2 linked regions of the Caenorhabditis elegans genome follow. The protein of the gene in region 2 purifies or fractionates together with the protein of the main gene of each other region. This does not show direct contact. Each region holds a gene or a part of one and is shown on either strand. Other genes may lie near its edges.

Region 1 (4,837 bases), on a different chromosome or scaffold from region 2:
ATGGCCTTTTTTGAGGTATTCTACGTATTTCACTAAAAAAACTAAAAAACACTAAAAAAAATATTATTTTCATCTAAAAAAAATATTATTTTCAGATTAAACGAACACTTTTCCACATTTTTATGTAATTTTCAAGAAAATCTGAAAACCCAATTTTTTAAATCAAAAATTGGCATAAAACGGTAGAAAATATTTGTTCAATCTGAAAATAATATCGTTTTTTTTTTGCGGAAAAGCTCGAAAAATGCCCTTGGTCAGGTATTTTTTTTTTAAAAATCGAAAAATCTAGAAAAAAGTAGAAAAGCCTCTAGATTTATCAAAAATATGTTGATTTTGATGAGAAAAACGAAGAATTGGTCATCAAAATATTGATTTTCATTTGAAACATAATTTATCAGATTTTCAGGAATTTTTCCGAAAAAAAATTTAAAGTAATTTTCAATTTTTACGGAAAAATGTGTAAAAATGATGAAAACCCATTAAAATTGCTAGAAAATCGAAATTTGCTTGGGAATTCAAAAATAAATCGGCTTTTTTTTGTTGTGAAATTGGAAAAAAATCTTTCTAAAATTTATTTTAAATAATTGTGAAACTTTTGCAACAAATATTATCGTTTCGGTAATTTCTGGCTATTTTAATTGAAAAAAGTCAAATTATCGATTTTTAAGGCAATTTTAGGGTTTCTTTCACACAAAACGAAGCAAAAAACTTTTTTGAAAGAATGAGAAATGGCTGAAAATGCGATTTAAAAAAAAAAAAATCGGAAAACTAAAATTTTAAATATTTTTACGCTCATTTTTGGGTGGAAATTCTATAAAATACCGATTTTCAGATCTCGACAGCAGTATTATTGCTCCGAACAGAGCCAAATCAAAGGATGACAGGAAAAGTGATGATAGTGACGATGTTAGTTTTATATTAATTTTTTTAATCGAATAAAATGAAAAAATTTCAGGATCTGAACGACGAGGAGGGTGATGCGGATCAAAGTATCTGGGGAAGCGACGATTAGAAACGATTATTTTTTTTTATTGCAACCAGTAAATATAATTATTTTAAATGTGATTTATAATTTTGTGTCATTCGGTTTTGTTTTATACCCACACCTTTTTTAAAAAAATATCTGAAATTGTTTCTTATTCGATTTTATTTTCTTTGGTTTTTTAAAATTACTTTTTTTTGGTTCTATTTCGATCCAAATTCATTTATTTTATTTTTTTGGAAAATTGGAAAAAAAACTGAAAAGAGCCCATTTTTTGAATTGCTGCTTTCTTCCTAGTTTCGACGTTTTCCTGTTATTTTAATTGATTTTCCTCTTTTATTATATGTAATTTGAAACATAATTTATCACATTTTCAGGAATTTTTTCCGTAAAAAAGTTACAAAAAATAACGTTAAATTATCGAATTTTACAGAAAAATGTCTGTAAAAATGTGAGAAAAACCAATAAAAATATCTGAAAAATGCCGAAATTTGCGCGGGAATTCAAAAATAAATGGATTTTTCTGTGCAAAATTGAAAAAAAATTAATAAATATGACTATGGCAATTTTTTCATTAAAAAAAAATTCCAATTTGAAACATGATTTGTCACATTTTCAGGCATTTTTCCGCAAAAAAGTTGAGAAATTATCGATTTTTAAGCCAATTTTAGAATTTCTTTCACACAAAATGTTAAAAAAAAAAAAAACAAAATTTCGAATTATAAAACAAAAAAACGCAAAAAACCAATAAAAAATAGCTGGAAAATGTCAAATTTGTTGAAAAATTGAAAAAATAATTTCAAAAAATTTAGATAAATTCTACAATTTTAGGAAAACCCATTTTCCTGCAATTTACCATCTAAAAAGCTCACAGAGACACACTACACTCCACCTTTAAAAGCAAACGCGCTCCACCGAACAACTCCCAATTTTTTCCATTTTTATTAGGAAATACTGGATAATATTGTGCGTCTCTCTCGAACGGCTAAAAAATGAGTAAGCAGCAACGGCGAAAAGGAAATGCAAAGGTTAGTTTTTCATTCCTTGGCTAAAATGAAGATGAAACGAGTTGTTCAGAATGCGAGCAGTGCGGCGGCTCACGAGTATTTGGCTCAAGGAGGAGCCACGTTTGTCGGGTTGACGCCTGAGATGAATATTTTCGAGGTGAGAGGCTATTTGGATTTTTTTAAGTGAAAAAATAAAAAATTCCCAATATTTTTCCTTTATTAAACCTTTATTTCCGCTGAAAAATTAGGGAAAATGCTCAAAAACTACTTTTTTTTTGCCATTTTTGAGCAGTTTTTCAAACTTTTCGGCAGAAATATATGTTATTTTCAGAAAAATGAAGTAATTTTTAATGAAAAATTATTTTTAAAAAAAGCTTTAAAAAAAGTCCATTTTGATTTTTTTAATTAAAAAAGTAATGAAATTCCCAATATTTTTCCTTTGTTTTTAACCTTTATTTCCGCTGAAAAGTTTGGGAAAATACTCAAAAATTAGATTTTTTGCCATTTTTTAGCACTTTTTCAAACTTTTCGCCGGAAATAAAGCAAATTTTCATATTTTGACACTAATTTTAAATGAAAAATGTTAGAAAAACCGATCAAAAGAGCAGTGCCGCACAGAAAAAGAGGCGGAGCGTAATTTTGCAATCCTGCGGCACGGTTTCCACTTTTAAATTAAAATTTCGATTTCACTTGTTTTATTGGCACCTGAGATGAATATTTTCGAGGTGAGAGGCTATTTTGATTTGGAAAATCAAAAAAATTTAAAAAAATTCCCAAGATTTTTCATAAAATAACATTTATTTCCGCTGAAAAGTTTTGAAAAATGCTCAAAAAATTTTTTTTGCCATTTTTGAGCACTTTTCGGCGGAAATAAGTGTTATTTTCTGAAAAATCAAGTGATTTTTGATAAAAAATGTTAGAAAAAACTATCAAAAAAGCAGGCGCCGCACAGAAATAGAGGCGGAGCGTAATTTTGCAACCCTGCGGCACGTTTTCCACTTTTAAATTAAAATTTCGATTTTTACCTGTTTTCTTTTCTTTTCTTTTTTCTAATAAAAATATTATCCAATTTAATCCTCATATTACGTATACATCTGCAAAAGTCGCCATATCTTACGCGCAAGATATCCCGCAGGGAAGAGACAAAATTACTGTATTTGTGTCGATTTACGGGCCGGGTTGGCATCATTTTTTGAATTTAATTTTTTTTTAAATTTCGAGTAGCAATTTTTCATCTTCAAGCGTTTTTATGTTAAAAATTCAATTATTTAATTGAAAAATCCATAAAGATGAGAAAAAAAACGAAAAATATCTGAAATTTGAAAATTGCTGCTCGAAATTTAAAAAAGCAGTAATTTTCAACTTTCAGATACTTTTCGTTTTTTTCCTCATTTTTATGGATTTTTCAAATAAATAATTGAATTTTTAACATAAAACGCTTGAAAATGAAAAATCGCTGATCGAAATTGAAAAAAATTAAGTTCGAAAAATGCAGCCAGAGCGGTCCGTAAATCGACACGAATACAGTAACTTCGTTTCTTCCCCGCGGGATATCTTGCGCGTAAGATATGACGATTTTTTGTAGATGGATAAGTAATATCAGAATTAAATAGGATAATATTTTTATTCGAAAAAAGAGAATAAAACAGGTAGAAATCGAAATTTTTATTTAAAAGTTGAAAAACCGTGCCGCAGAGTTGCAAAATCACGCCCCGCCTCTTTTTCTGTGCGGGGCTGATTTTTTTCTAACATTTTTCATTAAAAATTAGTGCCAAAATATGAAAATTTGCTTTTTTTTTCCGCCGAAACGTGCTCAAAAATGGCAAAAAAAATGCTTTTTTCCGAACGTGTCAGCGGAAATAAATGTTATTTTCAGAAAAAAAAATTGAATTGCATTATAATTTTTTCCAGGTGGCCAGCAGCAATCGACTCCATCAAGTAGTGGAAATCGACGACGAAACTCGGATTGTCATGAAAAAATTGACGAAAAAAGACTGTCAGACGAGAGAAAAGGGGCTCAAAGAGCTTATGGAACTGATAAACACGGAAAATAGTTCGATCGAGAGCTCCTATGAGCATTTCTGTGGACTCGTCGCCCAGTTGACCACAGATGGAAGCCCAACTGTGAGAATGCTCACGATGAAAGTGATTTCTCAGTTTTTGACAAAGTTAAAGAAATCTGCGAGTAAAGGATTGAAGAAAATCATTCCTTTCGTTCTTTTTGCAAAGTCTGATGTTACGAATGGAGTCGCTGCGGCTGCTTCTGCAGTTATTCGAGATGGATTTGATGCGGATAAGAAGCGACAAGTTGTGGAGCTCTTTGTGCCGAATACCTTTGATTTGGCAGCGAAAATTGCGGAGGGAAAGCATGAACTCTCGCTGCCAGCGGAATATGATGCTTCGGAGGATCTGGAAACGCGGAAAATGAGACTGGAGACGCAATCTTTGAATACATTCCTATCTTATATTAAAGGTGGAGTAGAGTCAGAAAATATATGTTTTGAAGGTGGAGCACCGAAATTTGAGACTTTGCTTTTTAGACCCAAAATTGGTCCAAAACTACCGAATTTCGTAATGAGACGTTCTGAAAATTTCTCAAAAAAAGTTACGGCGGTTCAAAGTTCTGCAAAATAAGGCCCATTTTCAGCTAAAATCAAATTTTTGCCAACTTCTCTGTGTCTCAGCGTCTGGAACTTAATTTTTATTTATTCATCACTTTTTAATAAATATTACGGTTTTTTATTAGCCGTTTATTCGTTGATTTTTAGTACATTTATTGTCAGTGGAGCACAAAATGTAACTTTAAAAAAAAATGCAACTTTGCGCCCCACTGACCATAAATGCACTG
Region 2 (5,927 bases):
CACTTTTCTGTGCCAGCGCCATTTTTGTAGCTTTTTAAAGTTTTTTGAATCAATTCAGAGCTGGACTTTTCGTCAAAGAAATAGTTTCAATTAATTTAAAAGTTATAATTTTTATTTAAAAAATATTTGAAAACTCGTATAGTAGCTTAAAATATTTAAAAAAAAAACATTTCAAACAACAAAGAAAGCGCCTAAACAGAAAAGTATAGAAACAGAGAAATATTTGCACTTTCTGAAGATAGCAAAAAGTACAGATAATTCTATATAAATTTCCAGAAAAGGAGATTTTTTAATGTGCCGCACATCTATGTTCTCAATTGAACTCCATGGAAGCATTCAAATGTGAAAAGGCGCTCACAAAAACACCAAGATTTCCATGGCACATCGTCAGCTTCTCATCCTAGTAGTCGTCGCCGAGTGCGCAGCGCGAAAATTAAATTGTTTTGTCATGGAAGAAAAAGATGGAAAGAAGAATCTTCTCTTCTTTTTTCCACAAACTTGTCAAATTCAAATGTATGAGTTTGAATGATTTATTCCAAAGTTGTGAGTCTAATTCGGGAGGGATTTCAAATCACAACGAACTCGTGAAATACGGGGAGAGAAGAAAAAGAAGAAGAATAGAGCCCATCGCACCTACAAACGATTATATACAAAAAAAATGTCCGAGAAAGAGTAGAGCTAGAAGAAGTTTCAGAAAGAAAACAAATAATTTTGCTAGAAATGTTTTATATACAACAGAATTCTCGGGATTTGATGGACACCGGATAGACAGAAACGGAGAACAGTAGAAGTAAAAAGACGAATAAAATGAATGGCTAGAATATATTCACAACTTACAAAAAAAGAGCAATAAATACAAAAAACTCGAGTACGATCATGATTGAGCTGGACGATTTCCTTGACCAGGAACATGATGCGACCAATCAGCTACTTGTGGTCCCATTGTCAAATTTCGACGCGAAGAAGTACTATAAATTGGGAGTACTTCACTAGCCTCAACTGGTACAGCTTTCAAGTAGATACATGCATCCGTTCCATGTCCTTCCATGGAAACCAAAAAGAGGTCACCAAGGAAATACCGAGCGTATAGTCGAGATAGTGGCAGTCCGTATCCGTAACCAGCCTAAAAATCTCGATTTTTAAAAATATAAACCATACAGTATGAATCTGGACTCTAGTTATTAAAAATTCAACTTATTTTCGAAAAATTAGAAAACTTTTAAATACTGGTTTTTTTCAAAAAAAAAACTCTTAAAACTTCTATAACTTGATCAAAAATTGGCTTTGAAATTTTTTTTGAAACAAAATGTGATTTATAATGGTTTTATTGTTGTTTTTTGGTTTTTCACAAATATAAATTTTTGGTCCATTGTTTTTGTTTATTTTTACTTTCAAAATACTTACCAAAGGAGCTTGTGTTCCATCACGTGGCGGTGGTGGAGCTGTTGAGTACATGTAGTTGTAGAGACGTTCGAGAATAGTTCTGGATACACCTCCTCCACGATCACAAATCTGTAAAAGAAAATATTTGAAACCTGCGGCAAAAATTGCAAAAAAAAACCAATTTTATTTTAAAATAAAACATTCGAATTTTTCAATAACTGTATATACATATGCTAGAATTTTTCCAGTAACTTAAAAAAAAAATTTTTGACAAAAAAATTAAAAGAAAGTTTAGTATTTTTTAGACTCTAAAAAATTGTTTAAAAAATGTTTTACAATCTCTAAAAAGTAAAACAATTCCATAAAATTTAGAAAAAATTCTTTAAATTAAAAAAAATGATACTCAGTATATTGAGACTGTCTTCTGTAATTTAGGGCAAAAATCCACAGAACCTCACCAAAATGTACAGTAATTTTAAATAAAATACGACTGATTTTCGAAACCAATCAATAATTCAATACCTTAATAGATAAATCCTCTTGTCCTTTGACTACATAAACTTTAATATCTGGAAGATCATCATCAACTCCATGATATTCAACTGTCGCTCTCATTGCATTCTGTAAAAAAAAGAGAATTTGAAAACCCCTCCATACACATTTTTCTGTTCTTTCTACTTTCAACTTAATCGTTTCCTTTTTTAATTCCTCTTTTTCCAATTCTCTTATCATTTTCATCTCTTATCTCTCTTTTTCTATCGTTTTTTTAGTATCAAAACTGCAACAGCACGTGGGGAAGAAGTGTGTGCGTTCAAAAAGGCACTTTGTTACATTGAAGTGATGAAGAGGCGTCGTCTTTTTTTTAATTCGTATCTTCATAGCTAACCTTAAACAGTTCGAACATCATGTGATAGAGATGACTTGGTACGGCGACAATCGATATTGGTTTTCCTTTTTCAACGGCATTGTGCATTTCAAGCTTCATTGATGGACTTGTCAAGTAGTATCGATCACATAGAAATCTGTAACAAAAAATTATTATATGAAAATATTAGCTTTTTCTGTTTTTTTTTAAGTTTTTCCGATTAAAATCATGTCGCTAAATTTCAGGTGAAATAGTTTCAGCCGTTCCTTTATTTTTGCAAAAGTGAAAAAAATCATTAAAAATTTTTTTGTGTTTTTTTAACCCTCAAATCAAATTTTCTATGATAATTTTGTAAAAGATCAGAATAAAACTCCCACGGAAATTTTCTAAATCAAAATTGCATATTTTCCTCCTTATCCCTCTAATTCATATTTTCGTTCTTTGAAATGATCAGGTTTGCCCGAAATCACACGCGTTTTAAAAAATCAAACGTCATCCCTCTCCATCTCAAAGAACACTCCCTGCACGGAAGAAAGGTTGAATGGGCAGTGGTGGTAGAGAGAATGAACTATGTTTTCAGGCTCAAATGACAACTGACGACTATGTGCTCACCCAGAGACACAGCACATTCAATCTTCGTCGCAGACGGACAGCGAAGAACTAGCTTATCAAAAACCCAAAAGACGCCATTCGTATAGTTGAGAAGGCCTGATGAGGACCAGAGCGGTCCAACGGAAATTTTTGTTAAAATTTATTGACTTTTCGTAAATTTTTTGAGAAAAATTTACTCAGAATTAATTTATCACAATTTTCTGCAAGAATTAAGAGCCGGAAGTTCTAGCAAAGAAGCAAAAAATGAAGAAATGGAAGGTATTGCTGAGGGCCTTGAACATCAATCTCAAAAAAAAAATTTTAGAACATTTTCTGGTGAAACTTTGGACTTTTATCGGCTTATTTCTTTAATTTCTAGGCAATTTTATCATCAACTTGCACTCACCGAGCATTTTCAAAAGCATCGTACACTACACTTTCCACATCACAGGCAGGATCAATACATCCAACATGACGAGGACTTTCTGGGAGAACATTTCCGAATACAACCTGGAAAAAATGTTTTATTTGAAAATATTAAAATTTTTAAAATAACTTACCAGATGTTGATTTTGAAGCATACGAATGGAAATTCTGTTGATGTAAAATCGATCCAAGAAATATTGAATTCCTTTTTCACTTGCAATATCTACTCCATCCGATTCTCGAAGTTCAATCAATCCTTCAGCCATTGTTTCGACGACATGTGCGTGTCTTTTCAGTACGACTGTTAACTGATCATTGAATCTGAAAAACATAAATTAACATTAATATTTTAAAAATGTATTTCTAAACTTTTAAAACCAAAAAATCAAGTTTTTTTTTGTAAATTAGGTATTCAATTTTTTCTCTTACCTTGCAACTTGCTCTGGAGATGAATCAGATGCCTCGAACAAAAGAAGATCCTCGAAACTCTCAGCATACCAATTTGATACCATTTTTGAACTTGGCATTTGAAGAAGCTTTGGTGGAAGAAGTGTGAATTCCTGCATAATATTCGCCAAACGAACGAGAAGCTCATTTTTCAAAAATGTGTATGAATTTGCTGATGTTCCTATTCGACCGAAATCCAAATATTGTTGAATTGTAAGTGATGAAGGTTGAAATTGACTGAAAAATAACTTTATATTGAATTTTTCATCGAAACAAGATCAAAATTCACTCAACAGTGCAGAAAAATAAAAAAAAAACGACGCCTTAGCCGGCTAAAAATAAACAAAAACTAGTTTTCCCTGGAACAAACAGACCGGGCAGAGAACAAAGGCCATCGATTCCAATATTAAAAACGATACTTTTCATAATCTCCTGGTTTTTAAAGCTGAAACAAATATTATTACCTATAATAATCGAGTTTCTTGGCCAATGAACCCACGAAAGGGCCTAGTAACTTCCGCGAAAAGCGCATCTGAAAATTAATTTGTTTTTTTCTATTTTTGAAATGAAAACGAGAAAGTACAAAGTGGGACAATCAAGAGAAATACGTTGTTTACGCTGCCGCATTGAGAAAATTATGGAATATTGAAAAAAAGTGAAACAGAGAGTATAAATTGCACGTCGGCAATCTCCTCCTCCCATCTCGCTTCGAGTTCGGCCGATGCGATGAAAATCGAGGGATGCGCCAAGGCGGACACTGACGCAATTCAGTGTCTTGCGCAATTCAAGTTTACGGCGGTAGTTTAAAATTACAAATATGGGAATTTGAGCTTTTTGAAGAAAAGCCAGCGTTAAAAACAATAGTTTAAAATAATTATTGATGTCACTGACTTACTTCACTATTTTGCCATTATAAATGCTTTTTTGTAACCGAAAGTTTTTTTTAAATTTTTTTAATGTCGATTACTACTGTACTCGTTAAAGGCGTCGGTTCGGGTCGTGTCGAGACCGGGGTACCGTATTTTTGAGTTAACAACGAATTATATTGCAAATTAACATTACGAATATTTATTTATTGCGCCTCAAATTTCACAAGATTTAAATAAATTAAAGTAAGTAAAAACAAATTGCAATGCCAGAAAAAGTGTGTGAACCAGAACCAGTATACAGAAAGTTGAGAAGAAAAAATGAACTACTCGTTGTAGAGATTAGAATAATGCAGAATGCATGTCACAATTGGGCATTGTCACACCAAGACTGTCACGTGTCACCTGAAATTAGCTGATATTTCAATAATACGGGATTTTTTGCACAAGGAAAGTTATTGATCTTATTTGGAAAATGACCAATTTTCAAATAGTACCCAACAAAAACGTTAGGGGCGTGCCCTAGAGCACTTTAATCTGGCAAAAAGTAGATCTGAAACTTATTCAGTGCATTTATCATTACTTGAAATCTGCCAAACTGATCAAAAATATGTTTTTTTTTAAACTAATGATGGTTGTAGGAACGCTTTTTGGAATTTCTTGGTTTTTCGAAAAAATTACTCTTCTTAACTAGATCGAAAAAGATCAGAATTTTTTAAGAAAAAGAAAAACATCTTGAAATGCCAAATTTTGAGAATTAAAAAAACAATTTTGCCCTTGATAAACATACAGTAGAAACTAATGTCCATGCATCGGAACCACACTTTGCCAAAATAATTGGATGAGAACATCTCAAATATCCATCCATCGCTCGACACATTTCAGTCAAATACGCTTCTGTTGATGATCCCTGAATCTCATACTTGATCTACTCAAAACATGAAACAAAATGAACTCACTTTTGCTCCTTGTGCTTCAGAAATTGCTTGAGTGGCTGCTATCTTACAGCTGATATACTCTTTTTGGGCTTCGACCTTAAATTTGATTACTGTAACTTTGTTGAAGAAGACGAAGAGTGTCACAACATTATTTGTAGATGCAAAAATGTTGTCAATCACAAAAGAGTAGAAACTTAAATTGTAGAAAAATTCTAGACAACTGTCTTTCTGATACTCTTTTAACCAATCAATTGATCAAGTTATGACAGTTATTTTTTTAAAACAGTTGTCCAGACTCTTTCCAAATTAGAAATATTCTAAAGTTTCTTTTGCCGAATACTGTACTTAGTTTATACCAACTTTTTTTAAACCAGTTTGTGATTTTTTATAATATACGATTAAAAGTGTTGT

What was found.
Region 1: the proteins of pdhk-2 (region 2) and Y54E10A.11 fractionate together in Caenorhabditis elegans (co-fractionation; one large-scale study listed by BioGRID). This does not show direct contact.

What each region holds. Positions count from the first base shown.
Region 1 is NC_003279.8:3,189,834-3,194,670, reverse strand, and holds the start of Y54E10A.11 (E3 ubiquitin-protein ligase listerin), read left to right. Parts: upstream 1-1,813; 5' UTR 1,814-1,974; coding exon 1,975-2,010; intron 2,011-2,059; coding exon 2,060-2,146; intron 2,147-3,900; coding exon 3,901-4,462; intron 4,463-4,837. Other genes in the region: syp-5 (PH domain-containing protein), read left to right, coding at 833-906, 956-1,012. UniProt on the Caenorhabditis elegans protein: E3 ubiquitin-protein ligase. Component of the ribosome quality control complex (RQC), a ribosome-associated complex that mediates ubiquitination and extraction of incompletely synthesized nascent chains for proteasomal degradation.
Region 2 is NC_003281.10:8,737,169-8,743,095, forward strand, and holds pdhk-2 (putative [pyruvate dehydrogenase (acetyl-transferring)] kinase, mitochondrial), read right to left. Parts: upstream 4,245-5,927; coding exon 4,177-4,244; intron 3,950-4,176; coding exon 3,695-3,949; intron 3,587-3,694; coding exon 3,400-3,586; intron 3,350-3,399; coding exon 3,246-3,349; intron 2,406-3,245; coding exon 2,270-2,405; intron 2,005-2,269; coding exon 1,906-2,004; intron 1,513-1,905; coding exon 1,405-1,512; intron 1,124-1,404; coding exon 875-1,123; 3' UTR 518-874; downstream 1-517. Other genes in the region: nssp-33 (DUF19 domain-containing protein), read right to left, coding at 4,921-4,983, 5,369-5,488, 5,538-5,612. UniProt on the Caenorhabditis elegans protein: Inhibits the mitochondrial pyruvate dehydrogenase complex by phosphorylation of the E1 alpha subunit, thus contributing to the regulation of glucose metabolism. Required for normal lifespan.